3 linked regions of the Tribolium castaneum genome follow. The protein of the gene in region 3 purifies or fractionates together with the protein of the main gene of each other region. This does not show direct contact. Links are inferred from orthologs where the notes say so. Each region holds a gene or a part of one and is shown on either strand. Other genes may lie near its edges. The genes, in order: Nup214, nuclear pore glycoprotein p62 and mbo.

Evidence for each region.
Region 1: the proteins of mbo (region 3) and Nup214 purify together in Homo sapiens (affinity purification with mass spectrometry; 6 studies listed by BioGRID and IntAct, counting the BioPlex papers as one, with this or other methods). This does not show direct contact. The link is inferred for Tribolium castaneum from reciprocal best matches to the Homo sapiens genes NUP88 and NUP214.
Region 2: the proteins of mbo (region 3) and nuclear pore glycoprotein p62 purify together in Homo sapiens (co-immunoprecipitation; 4 studies listed by BioGRID and IntAct, counting the BioPlex papers as one, with this or other methods). This does not show direct contact. The link is inferred for Tribolium castaneum from reciprocal best matches to the Homo sapiens genes NUP88 and NUP62.

The regions. Positions count from the first base shown.
Region 1 is NC_087398.1:6,201,215-6,204,986, forward strand, and holds the end of Nup214 (nuclear pore complex protein Nup214), read right to left. Parts: coding exon 760-3,772; intron 712-759; coding exon 684-711; 3' UTR 622-683; downstream 1-621. Other genes in the region: ribosome biogenesis protein WDR12 homolog, read left to right, coding at 1-608. UniProt on the Homo sapiens protein: Part of the nuclear pore complex. Has a critical role in nucleocytoplasmic transport.
Region 2 is NC_087396.1:18,040,641-18,044,603, reverse strand, and holds nuclear pore glycoprotein p62, read left to right. Parts: upstream 1-1,258; 5' UTR 1,259-1,360; coding exon 1,361-1,430; intron 1,431-1,482; coding exon 1,483-1,671; intron 1,672-1,720; coding exon 1,721-1,834; intron 1,835-1,881; coding exon 1,882-2,008; intron 2,009-2,523; coding exon 2,524-2,874; intron 2,875-2,922; coding exon 2,923-3,034; intron 3,035-3,137; coding exon 3,138-3,293; 3' UTR 3,294-3,345; downstream 3,346-3,963. Other genes in the region: ankyrin repeat domain-containing protein 12, read right to left, coding at 3,346-3,611. UniProt on the Homo sapiens protein: Essential component of the nuclear pore complex. The N-terminal is probably involved in nucleocytoplasmic transport.
Region 3 is NC_087401.1:12,382,305-12,386,434, forward strand, and holds the start of mbo (nuclear pore complex protein Nup88), read left to right. Parts: upstream 1-1,249; 5' UTR 1,250-1,312; coding exon 1,313-1,519; intron 1,520-4,130. UniProt on the Homo sapiens protein: Component of nuclear pore complex.

The sequences.
Region 1 (3,772 bases), on a different chromosome or scaffold from region 3:
ACACAAACCTAAAGATTTGGTCCTCATCGTTTGAAAGTGACGACGAACCTGCACACAAAAAAGTAAGAGGAGACAAAAATCTGATTACCAGGACCCCCATTCACACATTAAAAGGCCATAAAGAAACCATAACTTCGACTTCCTGGATTGACAACCATGTAATTTGCACTGTGTCAATGGACCATACGATTAAATTTTGGGATGCTGAGTTGTGTGGTATCAAGAATGAAATAGTTGGCCAGAAGGCATTTTTGGATTCTTCTTGGTCTTCCCTATCTAACACATTATTAGCATGTTCAGCTGATAGACATATTCGGTTGTACGACCCAAGGTCTTCAGAGGGTTCAGTGGTCAAGACTACTTTCACCTCACATACGCTATGGGTCAGTTCAATTGAATGGTCAAAATACGATGAACACCTTTTTATGTCGGGAGGATACGATTCTGGTGTCAAATTGTGGGATTCCAGAAGCCCTAAAGCCCCACTTTATAATTTAGAGGGACACCAAGGGCAAGTCCTAGCTGTAGATTGGTCCAATAACAAGTATCTGGTCTCTGGAGGGTGCGACAATAGTGTACACATTTTCAGAAATAATTATGTGTTTTAAGTGAAAAATAAAATTAATTTTAAAAAAATTTATTAGTTTCAGCTTACAAAATTTAACGTAAAACATTTTCCTTCATTAACGCCAACTGGAGAATGAGGAGCTCCTACAAAAAAAAATGTACTATGCCATTTATCAGTTTAAAAATTCTTACCCAGAGAACGGCGCACTCTGCGCTGGGGCGTTGGCAGCTTGCTGTGCCAAATTCCCAAACCCTACTGTTGGTTGATTGGCTAAATTACCAAAAGCTGTGTTCTGGGTACTAGCAGCTGCCCCAAACCCGGGGCTTGAGGACCCAAACACCTTTGAAGTATTCCCAAAAGCCGGTGGGCTGCCAAACGCCGGCGCTCCTCCAAAACTAGGCGAACTCCCGAAACTGGGCGATCCCCCGAAAACGGGAGCTGCCCCAAATCCCGGTTTTTGGAAGCTCTGACCTGCCCCAAACCCGGTTTGTCCCACAGTTCCACTCCCACCACTGAAGGGCCCCGCAGGTTGCTGACCGAAACTGCTACCCCCGAAGAAGGACGACTGTTGGCCGAAGGAAGATTGGTTCCCGAAACCGGTACCAAAACTCTGGGACGTGTTACTGAAGAGCGATCCACCACTGGAACCGAAAACTGAGCCACTTGACGACACTGGAGAGGCTCCGAAAACGCTCTTATCGCCCCCGAAGGGGTTCGCAGGTGCACCGAAACCCGAACTTGCAGTCGTTGAAACATTGAGACTTCCGAAACCGAACGTTCCGGAACTGGTATTGGTGCCGAAAGTACCGGACTGAGTAGTGGCAGGGGCGAAGACATTCGACGAACCGAAAATAGAGGGAGTCGTAGATGCAGGTGCCCCAAAAAGTGAGGGGGCAGTGGACGCAGGTGCTCCGAATAAAGATCCACTAGTACCGAAAGTACCTCCGCTTGTAGTCGTTGCCCCAAAAATGCTCCCAGAGCTCGTAGTTGGTGCATTTCCAAAGACGGAACCACCCGTTTGGCCAAAAGCGGGTGCTGAACCCCCGAAAACGTTCGTACTACCTGACGAACCAAAAACAGAACCTTGACCAAAAGCGCTTGTATTTTTGCTCCCATCGAAGGGCTGGCTTTGGCCGAACGTTGAAGAAGTTGTGGTACCACCAAATATCGACGGCTGTGTGCTTCCGAATATTGACGGTTGAGTCGCATTTGGTTTTGCATTAAATAGGGAAGGCTTTTGGGCGGCGTCTCCAAAAAGACCGAACCCTTGAGATTGAGTTGTCGTTGTAGGACTGGCAAAAGTCGACTGAGTGGTACCAACAGGAGTTCCAAAAACTGGGGTAGTGGGAGAGCCGAAAATTGACGATTGTGTCGTAGCTGCAGCCCCAAATGAACTAGTAGACAAAGGGGTAGCACCACCAAAAATCTGAGTGGTAGGTGTGGTAGCGCCAAAAACAGTCGCTGGTGAAGTACTTGACGAAACATTGCCAAAAATTGACGGCTTTGATACATTACTATCGGTACTTGCAACAGTACCAAAGACAGAAGCTGTAGTGGAGGATGATGGCAGGGCTCCGAAGATGGATGGTTTCGAAACGTTTGAATCCGTGGTTGCAACAGCCCCAAAAACACTTGATGCAGTTGTGCTGCTAAATATTGACGGTTTCGAGGCGCTAACTTCGGTACCACCAAAGAGTGGTTTAGTTGAAAGAGCACCACCGAAAAACCCAGTTGTGGGCGGAGCTGAAGATATGGTTGGAGACTGAGTAGTACTACTAACAATAGAGCCGAAAATTGATGAAGTTGTCGCTGGCGAAGAGAAAATTGATGAAGTTGTTGCTGGCGAAGAGAAAATTGATGACGTTGTTGCTGGCGAAGAGAAAATTGTTGAAGTTGTTGCTGGCGAAGCGAAAATTGATGGAGTTGTTGCTGGCGTTGAGAAAATACTAGTTGAAGATGGGACTGTTGTAACAACAGGAGCTGTAACACCGGTAGTTGTAACAGCTGTAGTAACAACAGTGGCCGCACTGGTGGCGATTTTCGGTGTTGTAGTTACGGCAGGAACAGCCGGTGAGGGAAAAATAGATGATTTAAGTGCCCCCAATGAAAACGGTGAGGACTGAGTTGATGGAGTGCCACTGGTAGTACTAACTGAATTTGGAGCTGTTACACCAAAAGTGGGTTGGATTGAGACTGGACTCGAGACAGCTTGCGTTGTTTTAGGACTGGTTGTTACAGAAGTCGTAGGGAAAATTGAACGTTGGGTACTGCTAGCAACGGGGGAAACGGCAGAAACCACCACATTTGGAGTACTTGTTGCAGAAGTAACTACTGGCTTTGTAGAAAACGTAAAGGTTTTCGATGTCGCAGCTTCGGTCACTTTTTGTGTTGCTGCACCGAAAATACTTGAAGTATTAGTAGCGCCACCGAACGAAAACTGGGTGGAGGTTGGTGCTGTGGTGGTAGCAATACCAAATGACGGAGTAGAAGTTTTCGTAAAAATCGTACTTTCCGCGGTAGTACTAACACTCGTGGATAGATTAAAAACAGAAATAGACGTACTGGGTTTGGTAGTCGCTGCACTACTTGTTAAAATGGGCGCCGCACTAGTAGTTTGTAAACTGAACGAAAATGTAGTTTTAGGCAAAGATGTGGCAAAGAGGTTTGTCCCCACCTTTGGGGTACTGCTAGTAACTGGTTGGGAAGACAAATTAACAAACGATTTAGGTGCTTGCATGGTTGCAGTACTAGTCACTGCCACAAAACTGGGACTTGTTTTAATAATAGACGCTGTCACGGCTGTAGTTGCAGCCATGAAGGTGGGTTTGTAAGTATTTGCTGATGCAGAAACCGAAGTTGAGACAAAAGCCGAATTTGGAGACCCAGCAATCACGTTTTTAGTCAAAGGCGTGAAAGTTTTCTCGGGCAAATTTGTGAAATTTTTAGCCTCGAATTTAAGGGCTAAATTTTGTAAACCTTCGATTGGAGTTGCCGTGGAGTCGAATTTGAGCACAGTGGGTTTGGGAGTTGACTGCGCAAAATCGAGAACCCGAGGTGCAACTGAAGTTTTTTCGGGAAGCCGACTAAGTTGTTTTGGCGGAGTTTGGATTACGGAACTGGCCAATTGAGGCTTCACGAATGAAATATGTGGATATTCTCTTTTTTGGAGAAAAGTCCGCAAATCTTGGACTTTCTTTTTCGTGA
Region 2 (3,963 bases), on a different chromosome or scaffold from region 3:
GGAAACTCATATTTTAAAGCCCTATATTTATATTATAATAACTGTAATATTTTTTAAATAAAATACCACTTTCCCCAAATAATTGTTTATTCACTCCTAACACCACGACGGGACAAGCAAGAGTGCCCGTTCGTCATTCTCCTACTTGCTTCCCCCTACCTCACTCAGCCTTTTCTATATAGGTACAGTACTTAATACACTACAATAACAAATTAGTTCGGTTATAGTGAATATATGAACTTCACTTTTAACGTTCGAAATTTAGACAAAAAAGTGGTCTAGGACTCGGTTATAAGTTATAAGTTATAACGTACGCACATGCACTTACAGCACTTACATGCACTTACAGCGACATTCCAGCAGGCACATAAACAGACCAAGTAATTAGAAATCTTTAAATTTAGGATACGAAACTAAAAATTATTGAATTGTTAGATAACTATTAAACATAGATGAATGTAGATAAATATGCTTTTCTAATAAATTAAATTAATACTTTATTTCGTGTATCTGTTTCACGTTTAGAATTCAGTTGACTTGAAAACTATTCTATAAACGACGATGTTCGGATAAAACAAACGATCGGGTATAATACATAACAAACAAATTCTGAAGTCCCTTGAGTGTTCGTTATAACCGAGTTCCACTGTAACTCACCAATTTAGGGTGGAGTTTAAATGAGAGCGATTTGAGACACTGTAGATCTTCCCCTTTTCAAATTGTTTAATTTGATTCGTAAGCATCTTAATAATCTTAATATATTAATCTCTTAATAGTCTGAGAAAAACTACCAACTAAAATAGTAATGACAAAAATTTAAATTATCCTTCGTCCTATATTTTTTTGAAAGGCGGTCTATAGGGTTTAAGATATAAAAATTAAAAAGTTATAGAAGATTAAAATTTCTCACAAAAAAGTTTGCGGAATCATCTTTAATGGTTTGAATGTTTGAGTGATGGAAAATAATTTGCACTTTAAAACAATTTAAACTTATTATTAAAGATAAAAATTTGGCTTTTCGGATCTTTTTAGAGAAAATTTAATTCTCTCCACTTTTTTTGTTTTTTTTTTGTTTTTTTTATACAATTTTGACTTTACTTACGGGTAACAAAAATAAAGATAAAACCTTCTGTTATAAAAAAGTGGAATATGGAAGCTTATGACACTAGAAACGCCAACGGACACTTATGATTATAATTTGAAACTTAATTTTCCTCCTTCCTAAATTTTATGAGGCCATGGTTAAAAAATCCATCTTTCCCTCAATCGCCACTAGTGCCGCCACCATCGTTTTAAAATTTAACGTCAAGCTAACCTATAAATTTTGTGAAGCTACTTGAAGCTAACTAATTTTCTGAAAATGTCTTTCAATTTCGGTGCCCCTAAAACGGCTACAGGTTTCACATTACCTACCACTAGCACAATTGCCAGTACGTAAGACATTTTGCTAACCAAAACGCAACTAACCCTTTTATTACACAGCCACCACAGCTACGGGCGGTGCAGGCGATACCAAACAGCAAACCCCTAACAAACCACTAACAAATCTATTCGGTACTCCTACGACCAGTACCGGGTTTTTCCTGGGTACAACCCCCAAAACAACAGCGTCAGTAAGTTTCGGCTTAACAACAACAAGCGCAACCTCAACTCCCAGCTTTACAATAACTCGTTAGTAACCCTTTTTTGTTAAATTTATGTAATAATTAGTCAACTTTAGCTGCGACTTCGACGACTACGCCGCAGTTCAGTCTAGGGACAAGTGCTTCAACCACTACCACCGCTGCCACTTCGTTTACTCCTATTTTGTCCACAGGGACATCCCTATCTTCAGGTTTAAAAAAATTAGGGTTTTGTAGTCTTTACACGATTTAAATTTAGGTTTTTCGTTGGCAAGCAGCGCTGCAACTTCCGCACCTTTGAAACTAACCACAACCCTAACCCCTTCAAGCACAACAACAACATCAGCCTCTGGTTTAGGCCTAGGGGGGCTTACAGCTACTACACAGTATGTACTCTAATTATAAATACTTTTAACCCGCGCAAATGCGTGTCACAGTTTATAATAACATATATCAAGAGTACTGTGAAAGTTTAGTTAAAGTATGTCTTGACTAGTATTTTATTAAGGGTACTAATAAAAAGATTATTAATAAATTCGATTTTGATCATATAATACGAGTGCGAACACACTAGGTTAAAGTTCGAGGGCTGTCGTTATACAACGAGCATATGCGAGTTGCATACTTAGACATTATTATTTTTACTGTGCGTTTAATTCGTACCGTTTTATTATTGTATGTCGAATTTATCAAATTTTGAACCATATCTTGCGTAAAATATTGATTAAAATATTTGAAATCTTTTTTTTTAACAAACTTAAAATCAGCGTTGACAATGCTCCACCTGGTTCCTGATTTGTATTATATTGTAGTTTTGATATTTCATTAAATATAAGAGTTTATGAACATACGTCCGGGAAATTTTTACAGCACTTTTGATATGTTTCGTATAATTTTTAAGAGCGCCAGCTGTGACCACCACAACAGCAGCAAGTCTGCCAACTTCTGGTACCTTAACCTATGCTCAGCTAGAGGACTGTATCAACAAATGGACTATAGACTTGGAAGAACAAGGAAAATTCTTCATTAATCAAACAAAACAGCTGAACGCTTGGGATAACCTGTTGGTTTCAAACACTGATAAAATATTGGCCTTGAATGAAACAATTGAGCGTGTGAAACAGCAGCAGAAACAACTAGACCAAGAGCTTGATTTCGTATTAGCTCAAGATAATGAATTAGATGAGTTGAGTCTTCCTCTAGAGAAACAATTAACTGATATTCCAGTCACGGATCAGAATAGATTCCAAACGTAATTGTTTATTACAGTAAAATATTCGACATTCTGTGGGTGTTTTAGGTATCAATTGTCTGAAATAATTGACTCCCAATTGAAGCAAATGTCCGAGGATTTGAAAGAAATTGTGGAACATTTGAACGAGTCTAACAAAAATGAAGATATTACTGATCCGGTTTGTGTCAACAAATGTTGTCAAGACTGCTCTGCCTACTTCACAGCACTCTTGGCCACATTTTTGTTTCGACTCACTATCCTATCATGTGTGTATGTTGTAGGTCATTCAAGTCAGTCGCATTCTAAATGCCCACATGAATTCGCTCCAGTGGATTGATAGAAACTCGTCTCAGATTTGCTCTCATTTGGAACAGATTACACAGTTACATGAGACTTACAAGAAAAACGTTTTTATTAAAATTTCCTCTATACAATAACGCCTTGTACAAATTTCTCATATCAAACAATAAATCTAACAAGATATTGCACTTAGTCGCTTTTTGAATGTCTGTGGCTTTTTGTTTCTTCCTCTGGGGGGCTTCCTTCATTCCCCTTGACTGTAAATGTGACGTAGTATCGCTTGTTCTGATCCAGACGATCCGCAGGCAGTGATATGACTTGTTTGTCGTTTCCGTGGCACAGTTCGAGTGTCACGGCCTTTTTCGTATTAATTGTTGGCAGAAAACCTGTGCCGGGTTTGCACTGCGTTGACGTAAACCCGATTTTGGGGATAGTGTGGTGATCCATTTTGGGAACTACAAAAATATGAGTAAACTTGCAACAAAGCTTTTTGATTAAAAAAATAAAGAATTTGTAATTTCATACTTTTGCTCGTTTTGAAATTCCAAAGTTTTTGATAAATAACGTATTAATTGATTGACGCCCGATTTCTTGAACGGTTTATCGATAGATAATCTGTACCTGCGAGTTAAAGAAGTGTAAGTCCATTTTTTACGAAAATGATATAATGCGTAATTTTAAATATTTAGCAACCACTTAAACTGAAAATGTCCTCAAAATGTTAATATGAAGGACTACCTTTACTAAATCAAAGTTACAATTAACAGTATAGTATATTTCAGAAAAATTAAATTTCCTGTTTATCCT
Region 3 (4,130 bases):
ATTGTTGACTATTTTGCAAGGTCTACTTGATTTACTATGAAAATTACCAAATAAAATCAGTTTTTGTGATTTTTTTCAAAAACTGTAAGAGATAGTTATAGGACCTATTTATAAAAGTGACCATAAATATCGATATATTTTCGATTGCCTTAAGAAAATAGGGTCGTTCCATTTGAAAAAACTGAGTTAGAGCAGTTTTTTGATAACCATTTTCAAAAAATCATACTAGCCATGAACTTTAAAAGTCAACAATTTTGAAAAATATAGAAAACTTTTCAAACCTTCGGTTATCGAATGCAAAAAAAAATAGTCACTTATCGCAAAGGGTTCAAGGACTATGATATCTTAGATAAACCATTTCAAAAAAAAAAAACAAAAAAATTGACATATGTCAAAAACTTAACAGATAAGTACCAACAACTAGGGTAAATTTTACTCAACTTGAAAAGGTGAATTCAAATATGCAATAAAATCTGTAGTTACTACTTAAAATTTCAAACTTGACGCCATTTTTTTGTAGTTTCGAAAGCTCAGTTATTTTGAAAATAATTTAGTTGAACTTAGACTGGTCGATTTGGGTCGTATACAAAATTTTAAAGCCCCAGCTATTCTAATGTAAGCCTTAAAGAATCACCCTGTATAGAAAAGTTGTTATGAGTTTTATGTGGAGAAATGAACACCCGTATTTCTGATACATCCTGTATATGCATTTTGCATATTTTCCGAGCTGTACTAGTGATACTTTTTTTTGTAACCCTCGTAATAAAATTGTGGATGAGCCGCCCGGCCCCCGCCGCCTATATTGAAAAATCCATCTCTTTGAGAAAGGGCGCCCCAATTTGGATGTTTAATATTTAAATAGGAGTTATCGAAGAATAGATATCGCCTCAAATGTTCGTTTATAATACATGGGGAAGTATTCAATTTGTATACGCGAGCGGATGGAACCTTACTCGATTCATAAATATGCGAAAATACCAATAAGGTGCCGTCTCCCCGCGCAAATTACCTCTTCAATAATACAAGAAAAAGCCCCCACACTTCGCGACACAATAATTTTATCAGAACTTTGCATAATTCCCGACAACTCTTAGAACAACAGAGCCCGTACACCAAAACCCAGACATATTTACCGTCCAAGATAAGGCTTCATTCATTATTAAACTTATTATCGTGCTTATTATTATGCTATTATCTTCGAACTCGCTTCCAACTCCGGCACAAAAACGTTCAAACTAGGCGCTATTTACGGCGGGCGGTTGGCACCACTGTGGCACGTGGTTCGCTCCAAACAAGCCCGTTGCCGGTAATCATGGATTCTACCGATTATTTAGGGCTAAGTAAAATCAAAATTTTAAAAAATGTGCGTGAAGCAGTGCCGGAAAAGTTAAAAAAGTCAATCAACTTGCTTGCGGTCAAATACGGCGTGCTTTTCACCTGGGATTTTGCCAACAATTGTGTCCTAACCTTAAATATTAAAGCTGCAAGAAGCAACGATGGGGATAATGTTACGCACCAAGTAAGTAAACATCGCTTACCTGCATGCTTTACCCGCATTTACCCTTTTTGCGTGATAAATCGGCGAAATCGACGAAAAAAAACTAGAAAACAGTAAACATAACCTCAAAATGTCACTGCTTTTTACCGGTTTTTTTTCGGTCAAAAAAGCGTTTTTCGTGGTGTTTTTCTCAAATCAAGGTAAATTTTTTGGTTAAGAGGGGTAATAATCTGTAATTATAATTACATCAAAGTGGCCTTGACTTTAATATCTTGTTTCTAATTTCGTCACAGCTCACTTTGATCAGAAATCAGGGTACGTGGTGTATTAGAAGGGGTAGAAATTAAATGTACAGTAAAAATAATAAATGAGGATTTGAGTTTTTAAGGTGTAGAAAAATTGCATTCTCCTTTTTTTATGTTACTGTGCTTTTTATTATAAACAAAAAATCTAGTTTTGTGGCTAAAAAAATGGGCCACAAAAAGGGTCTGTAAGGTATTTTGTTTAAAAATTGTTTCTCGAGTATAAGGGAAGATTTTTTTTTAATAAAATAAAACATAAAATTTTGTTTCTACAGTCGAAAACTAACGGGCTGCGGTTTTGGACAATGCCACTTTTTAAACTTGCACTTTTAGAGCCACAATTAGAGGAGATAAAAGTCTGAAACCTCTAATTTTTACATTTTTTTGCTGAATTGTTTTAATTTATTTGAATATTTTTTTTGCATAATAGATCAGGTGTTGCTATTGGTGGGACATTTAAATGATATTTAGCTCTTTGAGCTGTTTCTTAATAAATAAATAATTAATAAAAATTAATTGTTTGCACTTTTGGTTGGAATTGTTTGGAAGTATTTAAAATTTTTAAAATTGTTTTTGTAATTTATGGAATTTTTTTTTATTACTGTAATTTTTTTTGGATTTTCCTGCGTTTATTTAATTGTACACCATATTGATAACGCAGTTATTCAATTTTTTTGGAACTACAAAATTTAAGTTGGAATTTCGCGAATTTGGAATTTTGGTGGATTTTTTTGGAATTACTGGATTTTTGGGGAATTTTTTGGGATGTAAATAATTGTACATATTATTTTAAGTTAACAGTTTTTCGAGGATTTTTTTTATTTTTGAAATAGGAAAAAAGTGATACATTTATCACTTTTGCCTTTAAGTGACTTAATTTTTAAATATGGCGCAATATTTGATAATAGAATTAAAATATGAGAAACGTAGGGCCTGTTTACAGAAAGCGAAATTAAGATTTAACTTAGTATTAAAGTAATTAATTAAGTTGCTATTTAAAATGCATTAACAAATGTTAAGTTAATGTAGAATTAAAATTTTGATTGTAATTAAAATGTTCTGTAAACCGGCTCTTTAATGTCCCAACTCGATGTGATTTAAGCTTAATCACTTTTTCCGAGTTTTTTTTTTTCTGAAATGAAGGGTTCTGTGGTACAATAATCTTTAGTTATAATTAGTAATTAATTTTTGAAAAAAAAAACAGATTGGAGTTTTTAATATTTTTTTTAACAACGGGTATTATGTTACTGTGATTTTTTTTGTTGCTGTTGGTGGGACATTTAAATATGACATATGTAATAAAATGTGGTGGTATCATTACCCTCTTTTGGGTATCGAGGAAAGTATTTAAAATTACTAAAATTATTTTAGTAATTTATGGATTTTTTTGTTGGATTTATCCAAGATTATTTAAATGACTATAATGATACGCAGTTATTCGATTATTTTGGAATTACAAAAGCTAAACTGGAATTACACGAATTGATTTGAGATTTTGATGTATTTTTTGGGATTACTGGATATTTCGTGGATTTTTTTTGGAATTACATGTATCTATTATTTTACGTTAATGGTTTCTCGGGAAATATATTTTTATTTTTAAAAACCAAGTAATAAATTTATTTTTTTTTGTAAAATTTTGCAGCAGGTAAAAAATCACGGATTCAAAATATGTTTCTTGCGTAAATGTATTTTTTATAGGTGAAAAGTAATAAATTAATTGACTTTAATTGTCCTTTTAATTTTTAAATGAACAAAATCTGGAAAAATTTGTTTCCATTTCTTTAAAAAAATAATCATTTTTAAAGTTGTCGCCAAAGGTTGCTAAAATCCTGTTATTCATATTTTTTGGTGGCACTTTTTATTGTGGCTTTTCAGGCATTTAGTTGTTTCATAATATACTATAAAAATTTTAATTCGACTTGTTATTTTTTGTCCTTGTATCCTGAAGAAAATATAACAATGATCCTATCCTACAATACCTGCCTTCAACAAATCCTCAATAAAATTTTTAGTAATTTGATATTACCTGATTATTTAACAATTATTGTCACGGTGTTAGAACGTAAAAAATAGTTTTTTCTTTCTAAATTTTGGCTTCTATAAAAAATCACAGGTAAATAGTTATAAAAAATCGAAGTAAAATTATTATTACTTTGTGTATATTTTGGAGACTGGGTTTAAAAATGTGTTCCGTCCGTATAAAGCTTTTCCCGTCCATTTGTCCGCCATTAAAATTTTCCACGACAATAATATCATCGTCTTGTTGGTAGTTAAGCCCGTCCCTTTTCTGAAGTTGGTCTCATAAAATAAAGTCTCTCGGATAAGTA